Schizosaccharomyces pombe: one gene and its partners. The protein of the gene in region 1 binds, or shares a complex with, the protein of each later gene. Each region holds a gene or a part of one and is shown in the gene's direction. Other genes may lie near its edges.

What was found.
Region 2: cdc48 (region 1) and rkr1 share a complex: the UniProt entries of both Schizosaccharomyces pombe proteins name them as parts of the ribosome quality control complex.
Region 3: cdc48 (region 1) and rqc2 share a complex: the UniProt entries of both Schizosaccharomyces pombe proteins name them as parts of the ribosome quality control complex.

The regions. Positions count from the first base shown.
Region 1 is NC_003424.3:1,303,341-1,310,689, forward strand, and holds cdc48 (AAA family ATPase involved in ubiquitin-mediated protein degradation Cdc48), read left to right. Parts: upstream 1-3,104; 5' UTR 3,105-3,116; coding exon 3,117-3,172; intron 3,173-3,228; coding exon 3,229-5,602; 3' UTR 5,603-5,926; downstream 5,927-7,349. Other genes in the region: knd1 (cullin-associated NEDD8-dissociated protein 1), read right to left, coding at 1-2,202, 2,241-2,277. UniProt on the Schizosaccharomyces pombe protein: ATP-dependent chaperone which probably uses the energy provided by ATP hydrolysis to generate mechanical force to unfold substrate proteins, disassemble protein complexes, and disaggregate protein aggregates.
Region 2 is NC_003423.3:2,423,130-2,432,951, forward strand, and holds rkr1 (ubiquitin-protein ligase E3), read left to right. Parts: upstream 1-3,392; 5' UTR 3,393-3,437; coding exon 3,438-3,466; intron 3,467-3,655; coding exon 3,656-8,459; 3' UTR 8,460-8,593; downstream 8,594-9,822. Other genes in the region: cysteine desulfurase Nfs1, read left to right, coding at 1-1,136; bdc1 (bromodomain-containing protein 1), read right to left, coding at 1,445-2,344; SPOM_SPBC21D10.08C (uncharacterized protein), read left to right, coding at 9,013-9,098, 9,149-9,822. UniProt on the Schizosaccharomyces pombe protein: E3 ubiquitin-protein ligase component of the ribosome quality control complex (RQC), a ribosome-associated complex that mediates ubiquitination and extraction of incompletely synthesized nascent chains for proteasomal degradation.
Region 3 is NC_003421.2:1,323,552-1,331,611, reverse strand, and holds rqc2 (ribosome quality control complex subunit Rqc2), read left to right. Parts: upstream 1-3,238; 5' UTR 3,239-3,304; coding exon 3,305-3,436; intron 3,437-3,481; coding exon 3,482-6,415; 3' UTR 6,416-6,555; downstream 6,556-8,060. Other genes in the region: SPOM_SPCC132.03 (uncharacterized protein), read right to left, coding at 1-57; histone deacetylase, Sirtuin family, NAD-dependent Hst2, read right to left, coding at 1,392-1,934, 2,002-2,378, 2,436-2,514; prohibitin Phb2, read right to left, coding at 6,590-6,816, 6,866-6,934, 6,991-7,257, 7,465-7,768. UniProt on the Schizosaccharomyces pombe protein: Key component of the ribosome quality control complex (RQC), a ribosome-associated complex that mediates the extraction of incompletely synthesized nascent chains from stalled ribosomes as well as their ubiquitin-mediated proteasomal degradation.

The DNA.
Region 1 (7,349 bases):
TAGTGTCTATTAGTAAATTTTTTGATTTCAAAAGGATACTCAAAGGTATGATTAGCAAACATTTTAAAATTGCAACCGTATTCTCAGTGTTTCTTTTAAGAGTCTCGATCAGTAAACCTAAGATATGTTCAAGCAAGCTTTCAGCGAGATATTTTTGTCCAACTTTCAAGAGCACTTCTAATAGTTCCAAATAAGCAGTCGTAAATTCATTGCCACTTTTGTCGATATGCCTACAGCAATCCTGGAGTATTTCTTCATAAATTTTTGTTCCATTTTCTATCTTAGTAATATCTGTAACGGACATGAAAATATCACATAACGCTCTTGCAGCAGCACTTCTAGTGGGCTCTTCCTGTAATTTTTTACATAAAATAATTAAGACACGTCTCAGGAATATAGAATCAAAATCAGGCTCATAGAAAAGAATTACGTATTGAGAGACCAGATCTATCAAAGCTAAACGAACTTTCAAGTCAGAAATTTTAGATTCCAAAAGTTGAAGTGAAGAATCAATCATTGTGGAAAAATCTGTTGAGACGTTAGTGGGTTGCTTTTTATGAATATATTTGCAAAATGACAGCTCAGTAATTAAGGCCTCGTATGAAAGTTGTGGGTAGTTGTTTTGTACCGCTAAACTTAATATAGTTGACATTTTAGATTCCATGTTTTCTATCTCTTCGCAGCCGCAAGAAATGATAGCTGATATTAAGCGAACTAAATTCAGCTTAATTTTTATATCAAGGGTTGAAAAATCAGGAAAACGGTATATAATTGAGCTCAGATTTGAAAATTCGGACTGAACACCAAGATCTCTTGAAGAAAAAATCACTGTAACTAGGTTCAGTAATTCAGATACAATGGAAAGTGGAGTTTTATCAGATAACTTAGAGACATGCTTTCCAATTACAGACACTAAATAAATAGAAGTATCCGATATTGCTGAACGGTCCGATGGTAACCCTTCATAACGACGCTTTCTATCATTAGAAGTTGCATACACCTCTATCCAACGAGGAACATGCAAGAATGCTTGTTTTAATACTTCGATAGAAATCAAGCAAACAGATTCCTCTCTATCGTTTAACTTACTAACCACAGAAGTCCCTAGTGCTTGAAGGACTATAGGCAAATACTCTAAACGTGACAAAATTACAGACAAAACGACTTTCAAAGATTCTCTTCTAACAATCCAAGATACATCTTCTTCATCTTCGTAAATGCTGCTATAGTCACTCATTTCTTCGAGAAAGTCAGCGATATCATCTTCATCATTAGTATCAGATATTAAATTGGGATCATAAGAAATTTTAGAGATTAAGAGACCATGTAATTCTGGCCAAATTTTCAAAATATTCACTTGTTGGTACTCTAATAACAATCCTAAAACCTCCAACAATTTTTGCGTTAACTCATCTGGGGCTTCTTCCTTCTTTAATAACGATAATATTTTATTGGTGTAGTCAGCAACTGCTGTTGAGATGAATGATGTAGATGAATCTTTTTCTTTTTTAGATGACAGAAGTATTTCGTTAAGCAATTTAATAGAAATATTTACCTCGGACATTTGGGTCGAGGGTCCCAAACCTCGATCAAGCACCTCAATTATATATTTGTATGCAAAGCGAGGCCCATAAAGTGATACGTCAGAAAGGAGATAGCAAGCCTTTTTAATAATTAATTCTCTTTGGCATTGTGTCGTACATTTTTGGAATACGTCTATACACAATTCAAAATTGTTAGGTAGAAGAGTCGAAAGATTAGAATGGTATATTTCTAGAGAATCACAGACCACACAGAGAATTGCAAAAAATTCCTCTTGAGCAACGTTGTACTGTTTTAAAATTTGTAAAAATGAAGGGAATACAGTCGAAGTATAAAATTTGTTTACGAAAGGTTGGACGTTCGAGTTGGACAAAAGCAAACTGAGAGCAGACAAGTAATTTTTCGATTTCTTCCCAGCAACTCCAGAAAGCAAATTTTCAACAGTAGATTTTAACTTATCTTGTGGAATTTTGCTAGAAATTATAGCAACACAACGAACTGCCTCTTGTTGAACCTCTGGCGAAGCATCACTCAGTGCTTGTAATAAAACATCGAGTGTATCAGGAAAGCTCTCCAATTTGAGATTTTTCAAATGGTTTGCATCATTAAGTCGGGCAGCTAAATCGCTGAGTGCCATGTAACGTATGTCTTTATCGCTACCTGCAACAGTTAGAGCTAGTTTTTTATTTTTAACATACTTTCAACGTATTTTTTTAATAAAATTCCCTCCTCCATTTTACAATTGATTAATTTTTATGGCCACTAAGGTAGGGATTCAGCAGTTTGTACAATGAGCCTGACAGCGTGTATCATAAAGGATTCCACACCATAAGCCATATAACGAACAGTAAGTATGGATATTTAAAACACATTAAATTCCTTATTAAAGATTGAACTAATTTTATTATTGATTGTGCAATACAATCAATAACCATAAAAGAAGAATATTTGATTAGCCTTAACTTACTGCTAAACACTTTTACAAAACGCTTTCTAGAAAATTGATGTTTATAGTTATAATGATAAATAATATTGCAAGGGTTTCAAACTAAAATATTTAGCTTACTAAACCGCCAACCAAGTTTCATTTCAATTGAAAACGGATAACACTCAAAATGTTTATTTTATGCTTAGTAATGAAGTTTTAAGCACATTTAGATATAGGGCGGTCGTTCGAATTTTTGCATTTCTGTAGTTTAAAATTTCCTCGTAGATTTTACTAGAAAATTGTTTACTATTGATGTTCTTGGAACATTCTAATAGCAACGACGTTTCCTTGGTAAAAGAAGAATAGATAAATTAAATTTGGCAATTTATACAATACGTGTTTTCTAGAGATGCGTTAAATAAAAACAATCTAGCGAAAATAATGGAAATTGGTAGTAACGACCTTGCGAGGCAGCTATGTAGCAGAAAGACTCAACTGCTTACAGATGTTATTATACAGAAAAAAAACAATTAGAAGAATATTTAGAAATAATTTACCTTTTTGAGCAATAATTTCATGTATCTTTATAAATTGAATGCTCATATATAAGCGCATGGTGCATGGTCGAATGAACGCACCATCCACCATGACCGATAAGAAACCAGAAGTGGAACACCTTCAGGGTGAAAACCCTCCAAAAGAGTATGTTTTCGATGTAGCAGTAACTTTTTTTTAGAATTCGATGCTAACAAGCTCAGTACATATAGTGCAGAAGACACAGCAACAGCTATTCTTCGTAAAAAAAGAAAACCAAATTCTCTAGTGGTCGATGACGCTACCAACGATGATAACTCAGTAATCACATTGTCGTCCAATACCATGGAGACTTTACAACTTTTCCGTGGTGACACAGTTGTCGTTAAAGGAAAGAGACGGAAAGACACTGTCTTGATTGTTTTAACTGACGAAGAAATGGAAGATGGCGTAGCAAGAATTAATCGTGTTGTTCGTAACAACTTGCGCGTAAGGTTAGGCGATATTGTAACGATCAATCCTTGTCCAGATATTAAATATGCTGAACGAATTTCAGTACTACCCTTGGCTGATACCGTCGAGGGTCTTACTGGTTCTCTCTTTGATGTTTACCTTAAGCCGTACTTTGTTGAAGCGTATCGTCCTATTCGAAAGGGCGATCTTTTCGTTGTACGGGGTAGTATGCGTCAAGTTGAATTTAAAGTTGTTGATGTTGCTCCTGATGAATTTGGCATTGTTAGCCAGGATACAATTATTCATTGGGAAGGTGAACCCATTAATCGTGAGGATGAAGAAAGTAGCTTGGCAGAAGTTGGCTATGACGATATCGGTGGTTGTCGTCGCCAGATGGCTCAAATCCGTGAGCTTGTCGAGCTTCCCCTCCGTCATCCCCAATTATTCAAAAGTATAGGTATCAAGCCACCTCGTGGTATCCTTATGTATGGTCCTCCAGGTACCGGTAAAACTTTAATGGCTCGCGCAGTTGCTAATGAAACGGGCGCTTTCTTTTTCCTGATTAATGGTCCTGAGATTATGTCAAAAATGGCAGGCGAATCTGAGTCTAATTTGCGGAAGGCGTTTGAAGAAGCCGAAAAAAATTCCCCTGCTATTATTTTTATTGATGAGATAGATTCTATTGCTCCCAAGCGTGAAAAAACGAATGGTGAAGTTGAACGACGTGTTGTTTCACAATTATTGACTTTAATGGATGGTATGAAAGCTCGTAGTAATGTTGTAGTAATGGCCGCTACCAATCGTCCTAACTCTATCGATCCGGCATTGAGACGTTTTGGTCGTTTTGATCGTGAAGTCGATGTTGGTATTCCTGATCCCACCGGCCGCTTAGAGATCCTTCGTATTCACACAAAGAACATGAAGCTTGCTGATGACGTTGATCTTGAGCAAATTGCTGCTGAGACTCATGGTTACGTTGGATCTGATTTGGCATCTTTGTGTTCTGAAGCTGCCATGCAACAGATTCGTGAAAAGATGGATATGATTGACTTGGATGAAGATGAGATTGATGCCGAGGTTTTAGACTCTCTAGGTGTTACAATGGATAACTTCAGATTTGCCCTTGGTTCCAGCAATCCTTCTGCTTTGCGTGAAACCGTTGTGGAAGTTCCCAATGTTCGTTGGGAAGACATTGGTGGATTGGAAGAAGTTAAGCGTGAATTACGTGAAACTGTCCAGATGCCTGTTATGTATGCCGAAAAGTTTTTGCGTTTTGGTGTCACTCCCAGCAAAGGTGTTTTGTTTTTCGGACCCCCTGGTACAGGTAAGACATTGTTGGCGAAAGCCATTGCCAACGAATGTTCTGCCAACTTTATTTCAGTAAAGGGACCCGAATTGCTTAGCATGTGGTTTGGTGAGTCTGAATCAAACGTTCGTGATATATTTGACAAGGCTCGTGCTGCAGCTCCTTGTGTCGTTTTCTTAGATGAGTTGGATTCTATTGCCAAAGCACGTGGCGCTTCTGCTGGTGACTCTGGTGGTGGTGATCGTGTTGTCAACCAACTTCTTACTGAGATGGATGGTGTTAACAGCAAGAAGAATGTATTTGTTATTGGTGCTACCAACCGTCCCGATCAGATTGATCCTGCCTTGATGCGTCCCGGTCGTTTGGATCAATTAATCTACGTTCCCTTACCCGATGAAGAAGCTCGCTTCAGCATTTTGCAAACTCAATTGAGACATACGCCTGTTGCTGAAGATGTTGACTTGCGTGCAGTTGCTAAGGCGACCCATGGCTTCTCAGGTGCTGATTTGGAGTTTGTTGTACAAAGAGCTGTTAAATTGGCCATCAAGGACAGCATTGAAGAAGACATCAAGCGCGAAAATGAGACTGGAGAGGCTCCTGCTGACGATGTTGTTATGGACGAAGATGCATCTGTGTCTCAAGTTCAGCGTCATCATGTGGAGGAGGCCATGAAAATGGCACGCCGCTCTGTCAGTGATGCAGAAGTCCGTCGTTATGAAGCTTATGCCCATCAACTCCTTACCTCGCGTGGTCTTACAGGATTCCAGTTTGATTCGGCTGATAGTAATACTAATGGACCAAGCTTCGGAAATGATGGTGCTGATGATTTGTATGCATAGAAACTACCACCTTAATGCATGAATTCTATATCCGATGATGAACAAAATTTATGTATGAACATGGACTTGCCTTTTTGTTGAAGTCATTTTTGTAAAAGGTGATTGATTGATTGATAATAATGACTTCTCTGCTACTTAACATGAGTTTGTAGGGATTCTTAAATTTAGTCTTTGAATAGAACGAATTTTTTTTTATGAGTAAGAAATTCTTGAACGCCCAAGTCTAGTTTACTACAGCATACTATTATGTTGACTGTTGTGTTTAGTTATAACTTTTCGTCAGTTTTTGCAAGTGTAGAAATGTGCATTTTCACACGATTCACATAACGATCGGCATATAGATAGAAGCCAACCCGGAGATCCAAGTGTTAACCTAAAATGTCGTTATCGAAATAGTAGCATATTTGTATGTGTAGTTATTTTCAAGGTGAACTGCTACTATGCTAGTAGTGTGCTAGCGATGTTAAGTCTCTTCGTGGAGGCAACGCCCCGTTAAATCTACTGGAAGAGCTAAAACTGGGATGTTCCACTATCGACCACAACGAGTGGACGATATCTGCGAGCTCATGGACATGTTGTTCGGCAGATAACCGTAGTTTGACCCTACCCCCACAAAAGTATGTAATGTCGATTCAGAATTTCCACATGGTGCCTTAAGCATCGTTACCTGTGTTACCTGGAAATATTAGGTTATTATAAAATTTGTTTAGTCGCGACAACGACATGCATTAAACTGACAATCCTCCATATACATGAGTGAGATTGAAATTATTTGTTAAGAAAGAGTTTTGACGGATTCAGAAAGTTTGAGTAATTAAAAGTATCAAGGTTTTTACTAGAAGTCAGTGAAAACATTCAAAAACGATTAATCGTCGATATCCGGCTTTTCGCCACTTGACCAGTTAGTAAGCTTAGAAAGGAAAGAGAATCTTTTACACTAGAAGATTTTTACTTCTAAGTTGCAATAACTTCATTTATTCGAATTGTAAAATACGAGTTCACTGCAGAGTTTCAGATCATTGAAGATTATTGCACTAAAATTCGTTTTTAAGTGTTAAAAGCTGATTTGTTCTTTACAATTCGCATAGGATACACTTCATTTATCATTCAATTTTGGTTTTTCCTTTGTGAAATAGGAAAACCGCAAAGCGTTTGTCTGTTATTTTATATTTTTTAGTTTGGATGTATAAAATTGACATCCTTAACCAATCTATCAGACATTTAGTATATATGTTATAGGATTCGTTTTTTGTCCTTCACGTGCCTTGTTTCAGTTATTATTTGACTGTTAATTCTTTCTCCTTTCCTTACATTTCCGATTCTCCTCTTGACGTACATTGTTTCGACAATACGTTTCTTATTTCCTAGTTAGTGTCTAATTCTATTTAAAGTGTGGATGGCGTTTATCTTTTTGAAATTTATTTTCCAGGCTTTTTTTGAAATAGACTCTTCTGAAGTACATTAAGTTTTTCAAGTGTCTTTTCTTGTTTATCTGTGCTATTACTGTGTGCAGGTTCAATCGATTGTTTTTATTCTTTCTCTGTCTATTTTACCGACCTTCTTTCCTTGTTGTTCTTCGCGGTGGCTTTTTGTTTGATTACACTCTTTTTTTATCCCCTTTAAAAAAAAAAAGTTTGGCATCTCAACAGTTCTCCTCATATTTTCCTTCTTCAACTACTTTTCTCATCTCCCTGTTGTCCTTAAGAAATATTTAACATATTCTGTTGCTTTGCTATTAACGTTATTT
Region 2 (9,822 bases), on another chromosome or scaffold:
CCTTCTTCACTGGAATTTATGGAAACCCACATAGTCGAACACACGCCTATGGCTGGGAAGCAGAAAAAGCTGTTGAAAATGCACGCCAAGAGATAGCATCTGTAATCAATGCTGATCCAAGAGAAATTATTTTTACATCTGGCGCAACTGAATCAAATAATGCTATTTTGAAAGGTGTTGCCCGATTTTACAAAAGTAGGAAAAAGCATCTTGTTTCCGTTCAAACTGAGCACAAATGCGTTTTGGATTCCTTACGTGCTCTCCAAGAAGAAGGGTTTGAAGTTACTTTTCTACCTGTTCAAACTAATGGCCTTATTAATTTGGATGAATTACGTGACGCCATACGTCCTGATACTGTTTGTGTAAGTGTAATGGCCGTCAATAATGAAATTGGTGTTTGTCAACCACTAGAAGAGATTGGCAAAATTTGTCGACAGAAGAAGGTTTTCTTTCACTCAGATGCTGCTCAAGGATATGGAAAAATTGACATTGACGTCAATCGAATGAACATTGATTTAATGTCTATTTCTGCTCACAAAATTTACGGCCCTAAAGGAATTGGAGCCGCTTATGTTAGAAGACGTCCTCGTGTACGTTTAGAGCCGCTTATTAGTGGTGGAGGTCAGGAACGAGGTTTACGAAGTGGTACTCTTGCTCCATCTCAAGTAGTGGGATTTGGTACTGCGGCCCGTATATGCAAAGAAGAAATGAAGTATGATTATGCACATATTTCCAAACTATCCCAAAGATTAATAGATGGCCTTCTTGCAATCCCATATACATCTTTGAATGGCGACCCTAAATCTAGATATCCAGGTTGTGTCAACATTTCTTTCAATTATGTAGAAGGGGAATCGTTGCTTATGGGTTTGAAAAATATCGCGCTGTCTTCTGGTTCTGCCTGCACATCCGCATCTCTAGAACCGTCTTACGTTTTGCGTGCAATTGGTCAGAGTGATGAAAATGCTCACAGTTCTATTCGTTTTGGTATTGGCCGATTTACAACTGAAGCCGAAATTGATTATGCTATTGAAAATGTGAGTAGACAAGTTTCTTTCTTAAGGAATATGAGCCCGTTATGGGATTTGGTTCAGGAGGGTGTCGATCTTAGTACTATAGAATGGAGTCAACATTGAAGAACGCTTAATTTTACCTATTGAAGATTTTATTTTTTTTTTATATGAACGTATGGAAGTTGAAACTTTTTACCAGCTGTTATATAGTTACAAAAAACTAAATTGTAAATTATCTCATACTTGATTTGAATCTATACGAAATAAATACACGGTTATGATATAAAAAAAAACATAAATTTGATAAAAATAAAATATAGTACCATTTAAAAAATATGTACCCCCAAGTCGTCAAAATTATAGCCAAAAAATGATATGAATCCAAAGCATAAACAAAAAATGTTAAGGAATATAATTAAAATGTAAAACACTCATTGAGAACGGGTACTTGCCTGACGATAAATATCGAAAAGCTCTTCTGTGTAGCGAAAACATTCATCTCCCCATATGGACATGGCGTTGGCTGGATCGCTGCCATTGTACATTTTACAATTAGCAAAGATTCGAAGAACTTCTCGATACAATTCATCCACTTCCGTGATGTTACCCTCTTTGATCATATTCTTCAATGTTCGTAAGTCTTGAGGTTTATAAACTAAAGAATCGTAATCTGGTGCCTCTTTACGATTTACAGGATGACTAAAAGGTGCTCCAAACCTGTGATTAGAAATATTGTCGAGCATAGGAAGCATTGCACTTTGGAACTTTTTCAAAGACTGCTTTTCTTCATTAGACAGGGCAGCGCGCTTTTTTGGAGTCTTAGTTGTGGGTGCAACTTCGGGTTCGATATTTGCAGGAGCTGCAATCTCTGGTGTTTTCTTTCTAGAACGAAGAGATTTATTAGCAGCCTCTACAGGAGCTTCAGTTTTCGCTTTTTTTGCTTCCTTGTCAGCTTCTTCAAGTGCGAGTTGATCCTCCACAGCTTTTGCCTTTGCCTTTGCAACCTCTTCATATAAGCTTTCCAGTTTTTTTTCACATCCCTGTATCTCTTCAGCCAAATCCTTTAGGACATCGTTCCGCAGCCTTTTTCGTAGATTTTTTCGAGCATCATTATCGTTTTGAGAAACTTGGTTGGAGAGAAGCTTTGAATCAGATTTATTGCTATCATGCATCCATTCCTCGACCAGATCCTTTAATTGATCTTGTTCAATTGGCTCTAAAAGCAGGCTGCTTTCTGCCGTTCGATTGAAGAGTTCTTCGTTGGGAGCATTAGGATTTTCTTGCTGAATATCAAGATATTGTAAAACAGCAACCTCTTGAGCAATATTCATTATGCACTATACTTGCATCATCTCCACTAATTTTACAAGACAAGACACGGTAGAAAGGGAGTCCTTCTTTTCGTAGTGTACTACCTCCTTCATACGGCGTGCGCGTAAAACCTAAATTCTCGTTAGAGATTGCTGTAAAACTTCATTAACGCAACAATGCTAAATAATTTACGTTAGTTGCCAACCTTACACATGTTGCATATCTTAATAATTCAATGTCTTAGTTTGAAGACTTCTATAGAATTGCAGTTTGTCAAATTGTAATTGATTCCTATGATACCAGTGAATTATGTTCTATAAACCTTTTGCGTAAAATCTTTAAATTTTGCTGGATAGTCACATCATACTAACCAAGTTTCCAACGTTTTCTGTAACTAACGCAATATTGAACAGATCGCAATAAAAATCATCGTATTTTTACTGCATCCTTAAATTAGATAAGGTATTTTGTAGATGACACCGTTTGATAAGTTACTTTAAATAAGTTTTGCGATTGCAATTAAAGAATCTGATATGTAAGCTACGCAGTTTGGTATCTGATTTAAGGATACGTAGAACTGCGGTGAGTTTTCCTTGTGATCTATTATATTACAATACACAGGTTGTATAAGTAGCAACTGAGTATAGGTATTGTATTAACTGGGTTATAATGTTACCTATCACTAATATAGCTCATAACTGAACTGAGGAACGAGGTTCAGCAGTAGCTCTATTTATAGTATTCAGATAATATTGATCTTAATAGATTATCATTAAGATCAATCTCCATATCGTATCATACATGGTACGATATATAATTAGAACATGTGACATATAGTGATACGCAACGTAGTGTATCATAGCGTAGTGTAGTATTGCTGACATGATATACAGTTTAGCAAGCTACTTAATTCCTTTTCCGTCATCACAAATAGTTAAGCTTTAAAGTATCAGTTTATAAAGCATTGCATACCACAATGAATTGCTTAAAACAACGTTATCAATAACCTATGATAACGTCGGACAGACTGATATCTGATTTCCTTTGTAATTTTTCATTCTTTGTGCCAAATTGATCCGCTGCATTCCATTGCATTGTAAACTAAAAAAAAAGATGAAAAAAAAATCTACGGATTTATACGGGTAAGTAAAGATGTGAGAAGATGGTAACAAAATGGGTTTGCACACAAAATAGGGTCTTTCTCATTGGATATATGCAGAACACCTATGTTATTACAAATCCATACTTTTCCATATTTTGGGGAAGTTTGTTTAAAAATACAACGATTCTTTTTTCTTTATGTATGTGCCGAAATGCTAATCTCTTTATAGCCGTAAAAATCCCGGGATGCAATCGATGTCAGGATCGTTTTCATCCTTGCAAATTGCGTTGGATGAGTCCAGCTCAAATTTTAGTACGATATATGAGCCTCCAGACTTGTCTGGTTTAGACGCAGAAATGATTGTTATTGTGAAGAATTTGCAAAAGCGTGACATCGTAACGAAATGTCGAGCTTTACAAGATTTAATTCAGTGGAATGACCCATCACAGTTTGACAATGAACAGTTTCTAAATGCTTTGGCAGTTTTATTTCCTCGACTATCTATAGAAGTGGAACGACATGTGCGGTTAAAAATCTTTGTCTTCATGTCTGTTCTATCTTCTGCGCTTCAAAAAAAACTTGCACCATGGCTCAAATTCTATATCACACCTTGGGTTATGGGTTTTTTTGATTCAGATCGTGCAGTCTCTGTATCAGCAAAAGACTCTTTTAAAAATTTACTCTCCGAAGAAAAGTGGCCCCATGTTTGGCTGAAGTTTGGATCTACTATCGCACCTATAGTCACTGATGTTTTTTTACATGAAGACAAAGAATCGTTAACGGATTTGCGTTTTTTTTCAAATGAAGAAGCTGAATCGAAAGTTACCAGAGTTAAATCTAGCTGTCTTCTGACCCTTTCTTTTCTTTTCAAACAGACTGCCGATTTAGAAAATCTAGAGACAGATAAGAAGATAGATAAGCAAACCTTTAAGTCATCTCTTTACGAGAACTTGTCTACACTTTTCAAGTCTGACGAATTTTGGTCTTTGGTTTCCTCACCTCAGGATGGTGTCACAGTGAGCCTGAGCGATTTATTGCTCATTATCTTGAAGTATGATAAACCTTTTGTTACCCAATATAAAGAGAAATATTTTAAACGTGTTTCACGAATGATTTCACGACTAACTAGTTTGACCTGCGTCCCTATGCTTAGGCTTCTTAGTAACATGATTTCTAATTTCCCCAACGAGGTTCACCAATTTGCAAATGATTCAAAACGTCCTCTTTCAAAGTTGTTCTCAAATTTGATCACCAAGCGAATCAGCCTTCCTAATTCTGGGTTTTACACATCCTTGCTGAATTTGTTTAAAAGTATAGGCGCTATGCAGCTCGTTCCTTCCATTGAAAGTGTAGACGAATTGTGTGATGCATTCTTAGAAACTGCAAATCAAGAACAACGTTTCCTATCTACTGAAGTTTATGACTGTTTACTCAATTTCTTGTCATTTGTTTATACCGATTCTTCCGATCCTCAAATTAAGGATCATGTCCGTGACCGTTTAAGGACTATATTTACCAGGTATTTTAAAGGTGAATTTGTTCTACGCTGTTCAACGTCTGATTTCGATCATTGCTTGCAAAGTGTATTCGATAAAAATTCAGATTTCGCCTCGCTCTGGAACGAAGTGTTATTTGGTTTCTTTAATGATGAATCTATGGACATTGAAACTATCCCATTTGATTCTTTATCACGTAACTTAAGCTTAACCGTTCAAACAGTTTTATATCTTAAAAATAGAAATTTTCAAACTGGAAATGAAGTCATGTCGATTCTGGGACCTTGTTTGTCATTTTTAATGAAATTGTCTACCCACAAAAATGAACGTATTGCATGTTTATCGGCATCCCAGTTAATAACTGTTTGTCACATATTCAGTGATACTACATTGATTAAACCCGTTAAGGAACTTTTTCAAAAATATTTGGTGAATGATTTGCCTTCTTCGATTTTAAAGCTTGGGCCTCAATCTCCAGCCTTTACTTTGCTTCGTGATATTCTTTTACTTCTTAAAGATTACGCGGATCTCTCTGAGCCTTGGGAAAATGTTGCTAATCAATTCACAGTGTCCTTTGATGAACTGGAAAATATTAGGGTTTTAAATAGTCTTCCCTCTTTGTTTGCTGATGGAAAACTAAGGGGGAAAATTTCCTTGGTAAAAACATTAGTAGAATACTATGATACAGCAGTATTTGCTATTATGCAAAACCCAGGAAACGATTGGGATATGATAAGAGCGTGCATTGGGTCTAAGGAAATCCTTGTTCCAGAAGAAACGATTAAAAATATTTTGTTTACGACCTTGGAGTATTTTCTTACGAATGATTGGGTTGATAATCATTTGATTATTTTGTGCGCATCATTGCATTCTCTGAAAGCTCATCTTCCAACAATATTTGATGAAAATAAATCCTTGTATTCTTTGCTTCCTGTGATCCTTTTCAGTAAACCAGAAGATGATGGCCATGTTGCAGCTCATTTTGAAAGTATCTTCTCCCTATTGAAAGAGAAAGCATTAGAAGATTCCGGTTTTTCTCTTAAACTATGTTCAGAAGTGCAGGAATGGTCATTGAATAAGGTTTTGAATGGTTCTATAAATGAAAAGTTAGCTGCTGATAAGTGTGTTCTTGTTTTCAATTCGTTTGGAAAACTCCCTTCAAACTTCTTTACGTTTCCTGCCTCTTTTTGGGATGCAAAAATATCCTCTTGCATTCCTTTTTTCTCTAACAAGTTGTTCATTGACCAAGATTTTATTCTCGGATTTCTAGATTTAGTTGCCTCAGAGCCCATAAATGTTGATATGACAGACGTAGGTACTCAATTTGTGCATATATTCCATGCCTCCTTATACACTTTATATTATGTTGAAACTACCGGATGCGACGGTGATGCTTTATTTAACCTTACGTTTGCTTATTTGTTAATACGAATTTATTTACAAAATGGCATACAAAGCATAATTGATGTTCCCATCCGAGATGCTGGAATATTTGTGGAATCTTTTGAATGCTACTTCAAAGGTGAAGTGGTTAAATTTATGCGCGATAAGGATGCTTTGACAGTATTAAATGAGCTTTTAATTGATGATATAGATGGGAAAATGCCTGTATTGTTTAAAAGATTTAAAAATTTGTCATCTGCAGAGAATACTACTTCTTTTTCTATATTTGCCGCTCAAGGGTTAACAGATTTTTTGATTGTTGTCTCAAATTTGTTAGAAATGGATGAGAAACACGTTGATGTTGTTTTAGGAAAGCTGGGCTTGAGCTCTTCAAAATCCCCTATTTTCGTATCTTCTATTTTAGAAGGATTGAAGCCATTAGAAGTAGATTCTGAAATTATTCAACGAATTCGTTTTAAAGCAGTAAACGATCTAACAGGTAAACTTCACTCTGCTAATGAAGTTTCTAAGTCTCTGTTGATTTTGAATGCGGCTACCACTCAACAGATTACTGAGAAGCCCCTTCTTCCTATCACAAGATGCAGACTTTTTTTGGAAAATATTACCAATTGGTGTTCTGAAAGTGGAATTAAATCTTTAGAGCTATTACCTGTTTGTTGCTTTCTTCGTTTCATGTACTATTTTTTACCCACTGTTTTTTCGTTATCTGGTTCTTATTGGAATAGCATTTTCGATTATATTAAATATGCTATGAAGATGTCTGTAGTGGATGCCCCAATAGTAAAATCGTTTGAACTATTTGCTCTTCGACTTTATAATGCTTTATCCAAGAACTATGAAATGAACTCTGATATTAAAGATTGTATTGTTGAGTCTAATGAATCCATGAATTATCTTTTGTTGAAACGATTTCTCTTTACTCACGAATCTACCCTGAGAAACTCGGTAACCGCACGTATGTGTAACCAATATTTGGTGAAGCTTTTAGAAAACTGTCCAGGGAAGGTTGTTCGCAGTTTTCAATATCAAGAGTTTTTTCCATCGTTGTGTAACTCGAATGATTTGCAAATGGAGTCTGTTTGTATGAAATTTTTACGCGAAAAATTAAGTCATGAGCTTAAGGAACTTACTGTTTACTACATGGTTGAAAGTGATTACGAACCTGATGTTTCATTATGCCCAGAACTTCTATCTCTCGCTATTGATTTTCCTGGAGATCCGTTTGTAATGGTAAGCAAAATGGAGAAATATGAACATGCGTTGCGTGTGTATCTTTTAGTTTGGGATCTTATCTTTTATCATTTTGAGGAAACCACTTACAATATAAAGCTGTCAATTATTAACCAACTTCATGCTATGGATTTATTACGTCCTTTGCTTAATACTTTAGTTGAAATTCTTAATTTATCATATGACAGGCCAATTAACGTTGATAAGTATCCCAAAATTGATTACAACCTTATGGATTATTCCTCTGCTACAGATCGTATTCGATGTCTTGCAATTCATATCTATTATCAATGTCTTAGACATCTTTCTTCTTCTGTTAGAAGTTATTGGTCTGAAGTTAAGAATAGAGCCTTCACTTCTACTGTTGAATCGTTTACAGGGTACAATGTTTCCCCGCTGTTGATTTCTGCTTCCTTAGACGATGTGGAGAGATCAATTGAATCCGAAGATTTTCAATCTGTTGGTGATGTTAATGTGAAAGTTAACAGAAACACCAGAGAGATATCTTTCATCTATAATGTTGATGAGCACAAACTGGAAATGGCCATCAAAATTCCCTCTGTATATCCCCTACAAAATGTTCAAGTAGAAGGAATAGAAAGAGTCGGTGTTAACGAACGACAATGGCGCTCATGGATTTTGGCTTCTCAAAGTATCTTATCATCGCAAAATGGCTCTATCACTGATGCGTTACTAGTTTTGAAGAAGAATATATCCATGCACTTTGAAGGCGTTGAAGAATGTGCTATTTGCTATTCTGTCTTGTCTGTGGAGCGTACTTTGCCAAATAAACGATGTGGAACATGTAGGCACAAATTCCACGCATCATGTTTATACAAATGGTTCAAATCTTCAAATTCAAGCCGCTGTCCACTGTGCCGCAGCAGCTTTACATTTGTTTAGGCACTTTAAAAAAAAATTGGTATTTTAATGGTGTGATATCTTTGGTTCTTTTTTTTTATGATACATTATAATGAAGTTTAGTGTTATTTAGTTACTAGTGAATGAATGTGTCTGTTTTGTTTTGATCGTTAAAAGTTTATACGAGTTTAGTGTTTGTTTGTATGCAAAGTCGATTACCTGATTTGAGTTTTATTGTAGCTAAAGTCGAAAATTTAAATGTCCATTGCTTGAATAGAATGTGAAAATGAGAACTTTAATAACGACTGAAGTAAACAAATAATTTCTCAATAAAATTCCATATAACTGATTTAAAAAATGTAAGTTATTTAAGATATTTAAAGAAACTTATAGTATAACAAGGTTTTTGTTATTGTTTGTGTTTGGTAGATTAGTGTACGCAATGATTCGAGTGTTTACTTGCTAGGAGCTATAAGAATAAACAGCTAGTAAAAAACCGATATCATTTGTTATGACACAACAACTACACCTGGTTTGTTTTAAACTTTTATTCAAGACGAATCCTACTAGAACAACGCACATTAATAACAGTAAAATGAGCAACGTGGAACAACCGTTTATGCAAGGAATAGATGATGGGTGGAATTTAAAAAACTACCTAAACATTCAATCCACATCTCTGTAAGCATTGCAAACTTTAATTACTAGAGAGAATATACTAACCTGCAAAGTTGTTTAGATAAACTTTGCAATATCTATACTCAAGGTCAAGATGAGAATGAGGATGCAAAAGAATTGCAAGCCATCAAAATCAAAATAGAGTGGTGTAAAGATACAAGCGTTTTGCTTTCCTCTATATGTGTGATGCTCCTTGATTCAATCCACGATTTTCTAGTACAACAAGGAAAGATCACTAAAGAATCAATAAGCAAAAGAGATTATAGTCATGAAATTACAATTTTTAACTTCAAATACGCTCAACAAGAGATGCAAAATGAAAAGCTTTATCATTTTGCGAAGCTTCTTGAACCCGCACTTGAGAGCTTGAAGGTGACAAACAATCATATCACCCATGCAACAATTGTCGGTCAGGTTTCTGGCAGTGAACATAACCTCTCAACGGCGATTGAACAAGTAGATGTTATTGTTAATTACTTTTATGATTCGTCAGAAAAGTTTCTCGAGTTGGGCAATAAAGTGCAGACTTTGGGTAAAGCAAAAAATAAGAAGCATTGGCTAGGAGTTTACCAATCTTTTGGAAAGGCTAGCGTTGATCAAATTCAGAAACAGCTCGAGTGTTACAATGTTCGTATGATGGAGCTTAACAAAACGGATGAGAACAACGAATCTGCAATCTGTGAAAGTCAAGCATCGAGTAAAGAAGACGAAAGGAGCGATAAAACGA
Region 3 (8,060 bases), on another chromosome or scaffold:
GTCGTAAGCATCAGTCAAATCCTCAGGACCGGTGATCCTCAATCGCTTGGGGTTCATTGTTATAATGTGTAAATTTCCAATTCTTTTGTTCAGAGGATCCTCAACGAAAGGAATCAAGATAAAGATTACAAATGAACTTTTATTAACTACTGTAAAAAAGTGAGTAGTTCTTAAAATGATAAGAATTGATCAATTGCAACGATAACACGATTTATCATTCCCTTTTATTTTTAAATTCTTTCCAGACCGCTTAACACGCCTGTATAAAAAGATGGCAAAACAAAGAAATTGAGACCTAAGATCCCTATTGACGTCAAATCTAAAAACGTTAATTATAAATCATATATCTGGCTTTCGAACAATTATTTATTTGCTAAGCATTCATATAGATCAAATTCATGAATCTTGTATAGCTAGGTAGAAGGAAGCGTTAGAATCGGTAAATTCTTAGCAAACCGAACAGGAGGTGACAGCCATGTAGTCAGTAATTCGTACAACTCATAAGTTACCCAAAGGTACATAGATATATGCAGATAAAATAGATATAAATTTAATAATTGTTCTAAAATTAACTGATAATTGTTCAAGCGCTTAGATACTTGTTTTCTGTAATATGAATTATGTCTTTACATCTCTAGTTCATTTTATGAACAATAATGACCACAAGAACAAAATTCAAATCAGAACTGGTTATGATGATGGACTAACTGGTTTATACACCGTCCCCTGTTACAATATACAATTCGTAGAAAACGCTTTAGTTTTTCAAAGGAAGCATTATTCTTGAATGAAACTACAAAAAGAACAATTTGATTAATTATTCCTATTTCCAATTCTTGGATAATTCAAAGTTTTATTAAATGAAAATGAATAATCTCCCATTTCAGAACTATATGTTCCAAACTGAACAGAAAAAAGGTTTCGACAAAGATTGTATTAGATTACAGTGCAGTAAATTTGAAACCATTATCAATTATTCTAGCGCAACTTTCTCATAACCCAAATTGCGTATATAGATGGACGCCAATTTTAAAAAAAATGCAAGTTATTTTCACGAAAATGCGAGGGCATCTTCATGAGTTTGATCGAGATCGTATACAGAACCCCCTTTTTGTTATCCTTTTCGCATTAGTTTAACCCAGCATACAACTCATAAAGAGAGCAATATGATTCATGGTTAAGAGGCAATCAAAAGGACGCCTGGAAGGAAATATTATAAAATTGCTGAAATAAAAAAAAGTATTTAAACTTGTTTAAAAGAAAACGAATCGTATGTGTAGATTCAAATATTCATCAAACCGAATCGTGAATTTCCGTTTTCTTAGTATAATAAATATAGGGATCTCCTAGTTTTAATCATGACAATATAGAAAATTTCCCGAATAACTGAACTATTCATCATCAGAAACTAACAGCGTCACCTCGTCTTTTTTCTTCTCCTCTATTTTAGTGAAAGGATTGACCGAGTTATCGTCTTTCTTTTGTTCAGAGGCATTCTTTTCTATTGTAGAGTCAACAGAAAGTAAAGATATTTCTTCTGTCAGCGTTTCAACACTCGTATCAATCAACTTTTCCAATTCATCAGACCATCCTAATAGTTTACATAACGCACGTACTTGGGAATCACAATCCCCCAATATCATGATATCCTTTTTTCTCTCCCCAAAGTCGCCAGCTGGTTCTCGATTAATCAAAACTCGTTGACATTTATTTGGCACTATTTCAGGCAAATCCGCGAATGGATGAACAAGTAAACTTGTTCCAATTACCAGTGCCATATCACAGACTTTTGTGTCCTTTTCCATGTGCTCGAAGAAACGCATTGGTAATCCCTCGCCATAAAACACAATCATTGGTTTGATGAGACCTTTGCAACTGTTGCATTTAGGGACCTGTTTTTGCATAATACATGCTCTAACATACTCCGTTTCCGCCTTTGTTTTCCGTCAGTAAAACCAATTTCTGCTTTTTCACTTTAACTTTTTCAAAAACAATCCTTACCATTTCGTAACATTCAATACAGCGGCTGTATTGGAAAGAGCCATGTGCTTCAATCAGAGCTTTGTCAGGCACACCTGCCAAACGCTCCAAGGTATCAATATTTTGGGTATAACATTTTTGTAGTAACCTTTTATCATGTAAAAGGCGTATAAAATAATGAGTATAAGTTGGTCTATACTTTTCAGGCATCAATTCGTGAGCCAATTCGTAGAATGGACGCGGATTTTTTCGAAAATAAGATAGATCAAAAACAGCTTCTGCGTAAGGAAGATTAAATCTTTGTAAATTATTGTAAATTCCAGTCTCAGGGCTTCGAAAATCAGGGATTCCTGCTGCAGTGCTGATCCCTGCACCAACCATAACACATATTTTCTTTACTATTTTCGATAAAATCGCATTAGTATGGTCAAGGAAAGAAAATTAAAAGTCATTACCTTTTCCTTCTTTGATTAAGGATGCAACTTTCTCTAAATGCTTGGAAGAGTCGACGTGTTTAACAGTGTTTTTCACCATTGTCGAATTTCTGAGAACAACCAAAGCAAGCCAATAATCGATTTACCTTAAAAATCCCAACTCAAACTCTTTCAAAAATTGGATCACTTAAAATTCTCAGATATGAACAAATCAATATGTTAATGCACAAAGTTTGTGGGTACGCCAAATTTCCATTATTATTTACTCGTTGAAAATATCAAACGCCATTACCGATGCTCCATTAAACTGCATTATACTGTTTAAAAGGCTATTGTATTCGACTTTAGTACTCGTTATTTGGTAAACATTTAGAGCCATCTTTTTCAATTAAGAGTTTCTGGATGTCGTTGAAAAAATGAGATACGGGGTAATCAGAAATTATGATTAATCAACTTTCGGCTCACTTGATTAGATTCAGCAACGATAACTCTTGACTTTCTGGTTTTACTTATTGGGTTGGTCACACCAGTTTGACATATTAGGTGTCAAAGTTTTTTATAAGTTTATCATTAGTTAACTATTTTTTATCTTTATAATCAGTGTCATGTACGACTATAAATGTACGATTAAAGAATCATCGTCGGGAAAGAAATAATGAATTTGAGAGAACAATCCAAATTTGCGCTAAGAATTTTAATGCTGCTAATGTACACCGTTTTATGGTGCAATGGTGTGCTATAATTTTCCTTATTACATATTGCGGATATCATTGCGCTTTGTTAGTGCTTCAGTTTCACTTACGTTATACACATGTTTACATTCTAACTAGAGCCTATACTTCATTTTGTTGTAACGCAGAAATTCATTTAGATAGGTGTTATAGACGTAAATGAAGCAAAGATTTTCCGCTTTAGATATTGCTGCGATTGCTGCGGAATTACGAGAACAAGTGGTTGGGTGTCGCTTGAATAACTTTTATGATCTAAATGCGCGTACCTTCTTGTTGAAGTTTGGTAAACAAGTATGTGTAGAAAGTAATAAATATTTTTTTACTAACCCGTTAAAGGATGCAAAATATTCTATTGTTATTGAAAGTGGGTTTCGTGCTCATTTAACAAAATTTGATCGAGAAAATGCCCCTTTGTCTGGGTTTGTAACGAAGCTACGAAAACATATAAAATCTAGAAGGTTAACTGGTGTCTCTCAGTTGGGTACTGATCGAGTACTCGTTTTCACATTTGGAGGTGGTGCGAATGATCAAGACCCCGATTGGACGTACTATCTGGTTTGTGAATTTTTCGCTGCTGGAAATGTTTTACTATTAGACGGCCATTACAAGATTCTGTCTCTTTTACGAGTGGTCACCTTCGATAAAGACCAAGTTTATGCCGTAGGGCAAAAGTACAATTTAGACAAAAATAATCTCGTTAATGACAATAAATCTCAGTCTACTATTCCTCATATGACAGCTGAACGATTAAATATCCTTTTGGATGAAATAAGCACTGCTTATGCTTCTCCTACTTCTATTAACGAACCTTTACCTGACCAACAACTATCCTCTTCTACAAAGCCGATTAAAGTACCCAAACCAGTTTCTCTTAGAAAAGCATTGACTATAAGATTAGGTGAATATGGTAATGCACTTATAGAGCACTGTCTTCGGCGTTCAAAATTAGATCCACTATTCCCTGCTTGCCAGCTCTGTGCAGACGAAACCAAGAAAAACGATTTATTAGCTGCTTTTCAAGAAGCCGACTCCATATTAGCTGCAGTTAATAAGCCCCCAGTAAAGGGTTATATATTTTCACTGGAGCAAGCACTAACAAATGCTGCTGATCCTCAACACCCTGAAGAATGTACTACATTATACGAAGATTTTCACCCTTTTCAGCCTTTACAGCTCGTTCAGGCAAACAGAAAGTGCATGGAGTTTCCAACCTATAACGAATGCGTTGACGAGTTTTTCTCTTCTATCGAAGCACAAAAGCTAAAAAAACGAGCACATGATCGCCTAGCGACAGCTGAGCGAAGGCTTGAATCGGCTAAAGAGGATCAAGCACGAAAACTTCAAAGTTTACAAGATGCCCAAGCTACTTGTGCGTTGAGGGCTCAGGCAATTGAGATGAACCCTGAACTTGTTGAGGCTATTATCTCATACATTAACTCTCTGTTGAACCAAGGAATGGATTGGTTAGATATTGAAAAGTTAATTCAATCTCAAAAAAGAAGAAGTCCGGTAGCTGCTGCTATTCAAATTCCCCTTAAACTTATAAAAAACGCCGTTACCGTTTTTCTTCCTAATCCAGAGTCTGTAGATAATTCTGATGAAAGTTCAGAAACCAGCGATGATGATTTGGATGATTCTGATGATGATAATAAAGTGAAGGAAGGAAAAGTTTCGTCAAAGTTTATTGCCGTTGAATTGGATTTATCTCTTGGCGCCTTTGCAAATGCGCGTAAACAGTATGAATTACGTCGAGAAGCTTTAATTAAAGAAACAAAGACTGCGGAGGCAGCCTCAAAAGCCCTGAAAAGCACCCAACGCAAGATTGAACAGGATTTGAAGCGCTCTACTACTGCAGATACACAACGTATTCTCCTTGGTAGAAAGACATTCTTTTTTGAAAAGTTTCATTGGTTTATTTCTTCGGAAGGTTATCTAGTTCTGGGAGGCCGTGATGCCCAGCAAAATGAATTACTTTTCCAAAAGTATTGCAACACAGGTGATATCTTTGTTTGTGCAGATTTGCCAAAGTCTTCGATAATTATTGTAAAAAACAAAAATCCTCATGATCCTATTCCCCCTAATACTCTACAACAAGCTGGATCCTTGGCTTTGGCTTCATCTAAAGCATGGGATTCAAAGACCGTAATCAGTGCATGGTGGGTTCGAATTGATGAGGTATCGAAACTTGCTCCAACAGGTGAAATTCTTCCAACAGGAAGTTTTGCTATTCGGGCCAAAAAAAACTATTTACCTCCTACTGTCCTCATTATGGGATATGGAATATTATGGCAGTTAGATGAAAAAAGTTCTGAGCGTCGCAAAGCTAGAAGGTTAGAAATGGAGGTTGTTGAAACTCAAGGAAAGGTGTCGGAACTTAAAATGGAAGGTACTTCGGTAACTTCTGAAGATAACATTCAAGATGTTGTGTCTGAAGTCAGTTACAATGAGGACACCAACAATCAAAGTACTCCTGATACCACTGGTTCAGACATCCATATTGTCAGCGAAAAGCGTGGTAAAAAAGGTTCTAAAGTTATAACAGCTAAGAAAGTATCTGCCAAAGAAAGGCGTGAAGCACGTCGCGCTAGAAGGCAAACTGCTTTGGAGGAATCTCTTAAAGCACCTATTTCAATAGAGGATGCTACAGACCCACAAACTATTTTGGCAATTTTAAAACAAAAAAAGGCTAAGAAGAAGCATGCGGCTCGAGAAATGGAAATTTCGTCTCAAATTCCTTCTAATGATTCATCAAACGTTCAAACACCCACTGCCGAATCAGAGATTGAAGAAGATGGCGTCTCCGAGCCCATTAGTGCAGAAGTAATTGAAGACCAAAGTCGTAACAGTGAAGCTGAGAATGAAAAAGGTTTGTCTACTGAACAGAGAGACGAAAAAAAGCATGCGAAGGTTGAAAGTTTTCAAAGACAAGAGATGCCGAGGAGTTTATTCGAAGAAATATTTTTTGCAATTGATTCTTTAACCCCTAATCCTCAACAGCAGGATACTGTGATAAACGCTGTTCCGACATTTGCCCCATACAATGCTATGACTAAATTTAACCAGAAGGTAAAAGTCATGCCTGGAACTGGAAAAGTTGGGAAAGCGGCAAGGGAATCAATCGCCTACTTCATGAAAAAACTTCCCAAGTCATCAAAAGAAGCTGCTTATCTTGAAAACCTTAAAGACGGTGAAATTGTTGCTCCTATAAGTGTGAGTCGTTTAAAGATGGTTTTTGGATCTAGCGGTAATACCAAAAAGTCAAAGAAATGAAAATATTTATTTGAGATTAATAGTTGGAGCTACTTCACTGTTTGATTTTGTTTTTGTTTTTGTTTTTTTAAACAGAAATTGAAGAAATCAGCGAATATTATGGTTTTCAAAGAGAATTTTGTATCAAAAAGTTAAATTTGTTTATTAATAAAATGACAATTCCTACATTAGACTTCATTTAATATCATCTAAAAGTAATGTGCTGGCATTAAGCATGACCTTGTTATTGCTCTTTGAAAGAATGTTTGCAATTTCACGAGCAGTTTCAAGCTTTCTTAACTCGATGAAACCAGGCTTATTTTTAATAGCTTCACCAATTAGTTGCGCTGCTCTACCTTCACCTTGAGCACGAACAATAAAGCCCTGTTTTTCCATTCGAGCACGATCGACATAGAAAGTAGCTAAAAAATTATTGTTAATATTGAATTTGTACGAAGAGCTGAACCATACCTCTTTGAGCATCTTGCTGGGCAATTTGCTTGGCCTCTACAGCGGCTGTAAATTCAGGAGAGAATTGAACTATTGGATGCAGTTAGTATTTTAAGGTACAAACGCTTGACTAATGTTAGTCATACCATGAGTAAGTGAGACATCATCAAGCAAAATATTGAATCGGGCTGCTCTCTTCATTAAATTCTCGCGAACCAACCTAGATACACGTTCACGCTGGGTGATCAACTGGCTTGCATTAAATTGAGCTACAACGCTTTTTAAGACTTCATTAACAATAGAGGGCAAAACACGTTCATCATAATCACCACCTAAAGTACGATAAATTTTTGGCAAAGCATGAACATCGGGACGAGACAAAACACGACAATTAATGTTCACCATTTGTAAATCTAAAGAAAAATGGTTAACATATTTCTAGTAATACAACCAACAAAAACCCCTCAAAGCTTAGCTATTCGAGAAGAGTAGAATCCATAAACACAATTCATCACTTTGCAACTAAAAGCTTAATTCACAGTAGGTATAAAAACCAAATGAATGTTTCTTACAGTCACCTTTAGTTATGTACGCTCAACGTTTTAATTCTTGTAACCTACCTTTCGTTCCGGTTAGAGAAGATATATTTCGTGGTTTAGCACGAACATCGTAATCAATGGCCGTTTCGATCCAAGGAATCAAGAAGTGGGTTCCTTCAGGATATATAAGGTTTTTAATTCCTCCAATCCTGCTATACTTAATAGCTCGGTGACCACCATCAACGTTAAAAAGAGAAGTCTGCACAGCAAATCCTGCAAGGCCAAGAGCTAACAACAAACCAGTTCCTGTAAAAGCATATTTTCCTTTAGGAAGTCCCCGCTTCATCAAATCATTCATCTGCTGGAACGGTCTTTGACGATTCATACTGAAAAGCTGTATACGGGAAAGAAAGACTTGTAAAATGAATACGTATAAGTAAGCATTTAAAATGGCACTTCAGTATACCTTATCCATTTTATCGTATTGTATCATAGTACGGTATTTGAGTTGGATTAATGTTGTTTTATATGCAAAAAAAAAACAAATAACTCGATAGTTTTTTTCATAATTTTCTTTTATTTTATTGATATTATAATATAAAATTAGCAGGAATTGAATACTGCTATTTTTATCGCTTTGTAGTGTGCAGCCTTGATAGAAAATGTGAGGTGCGTCG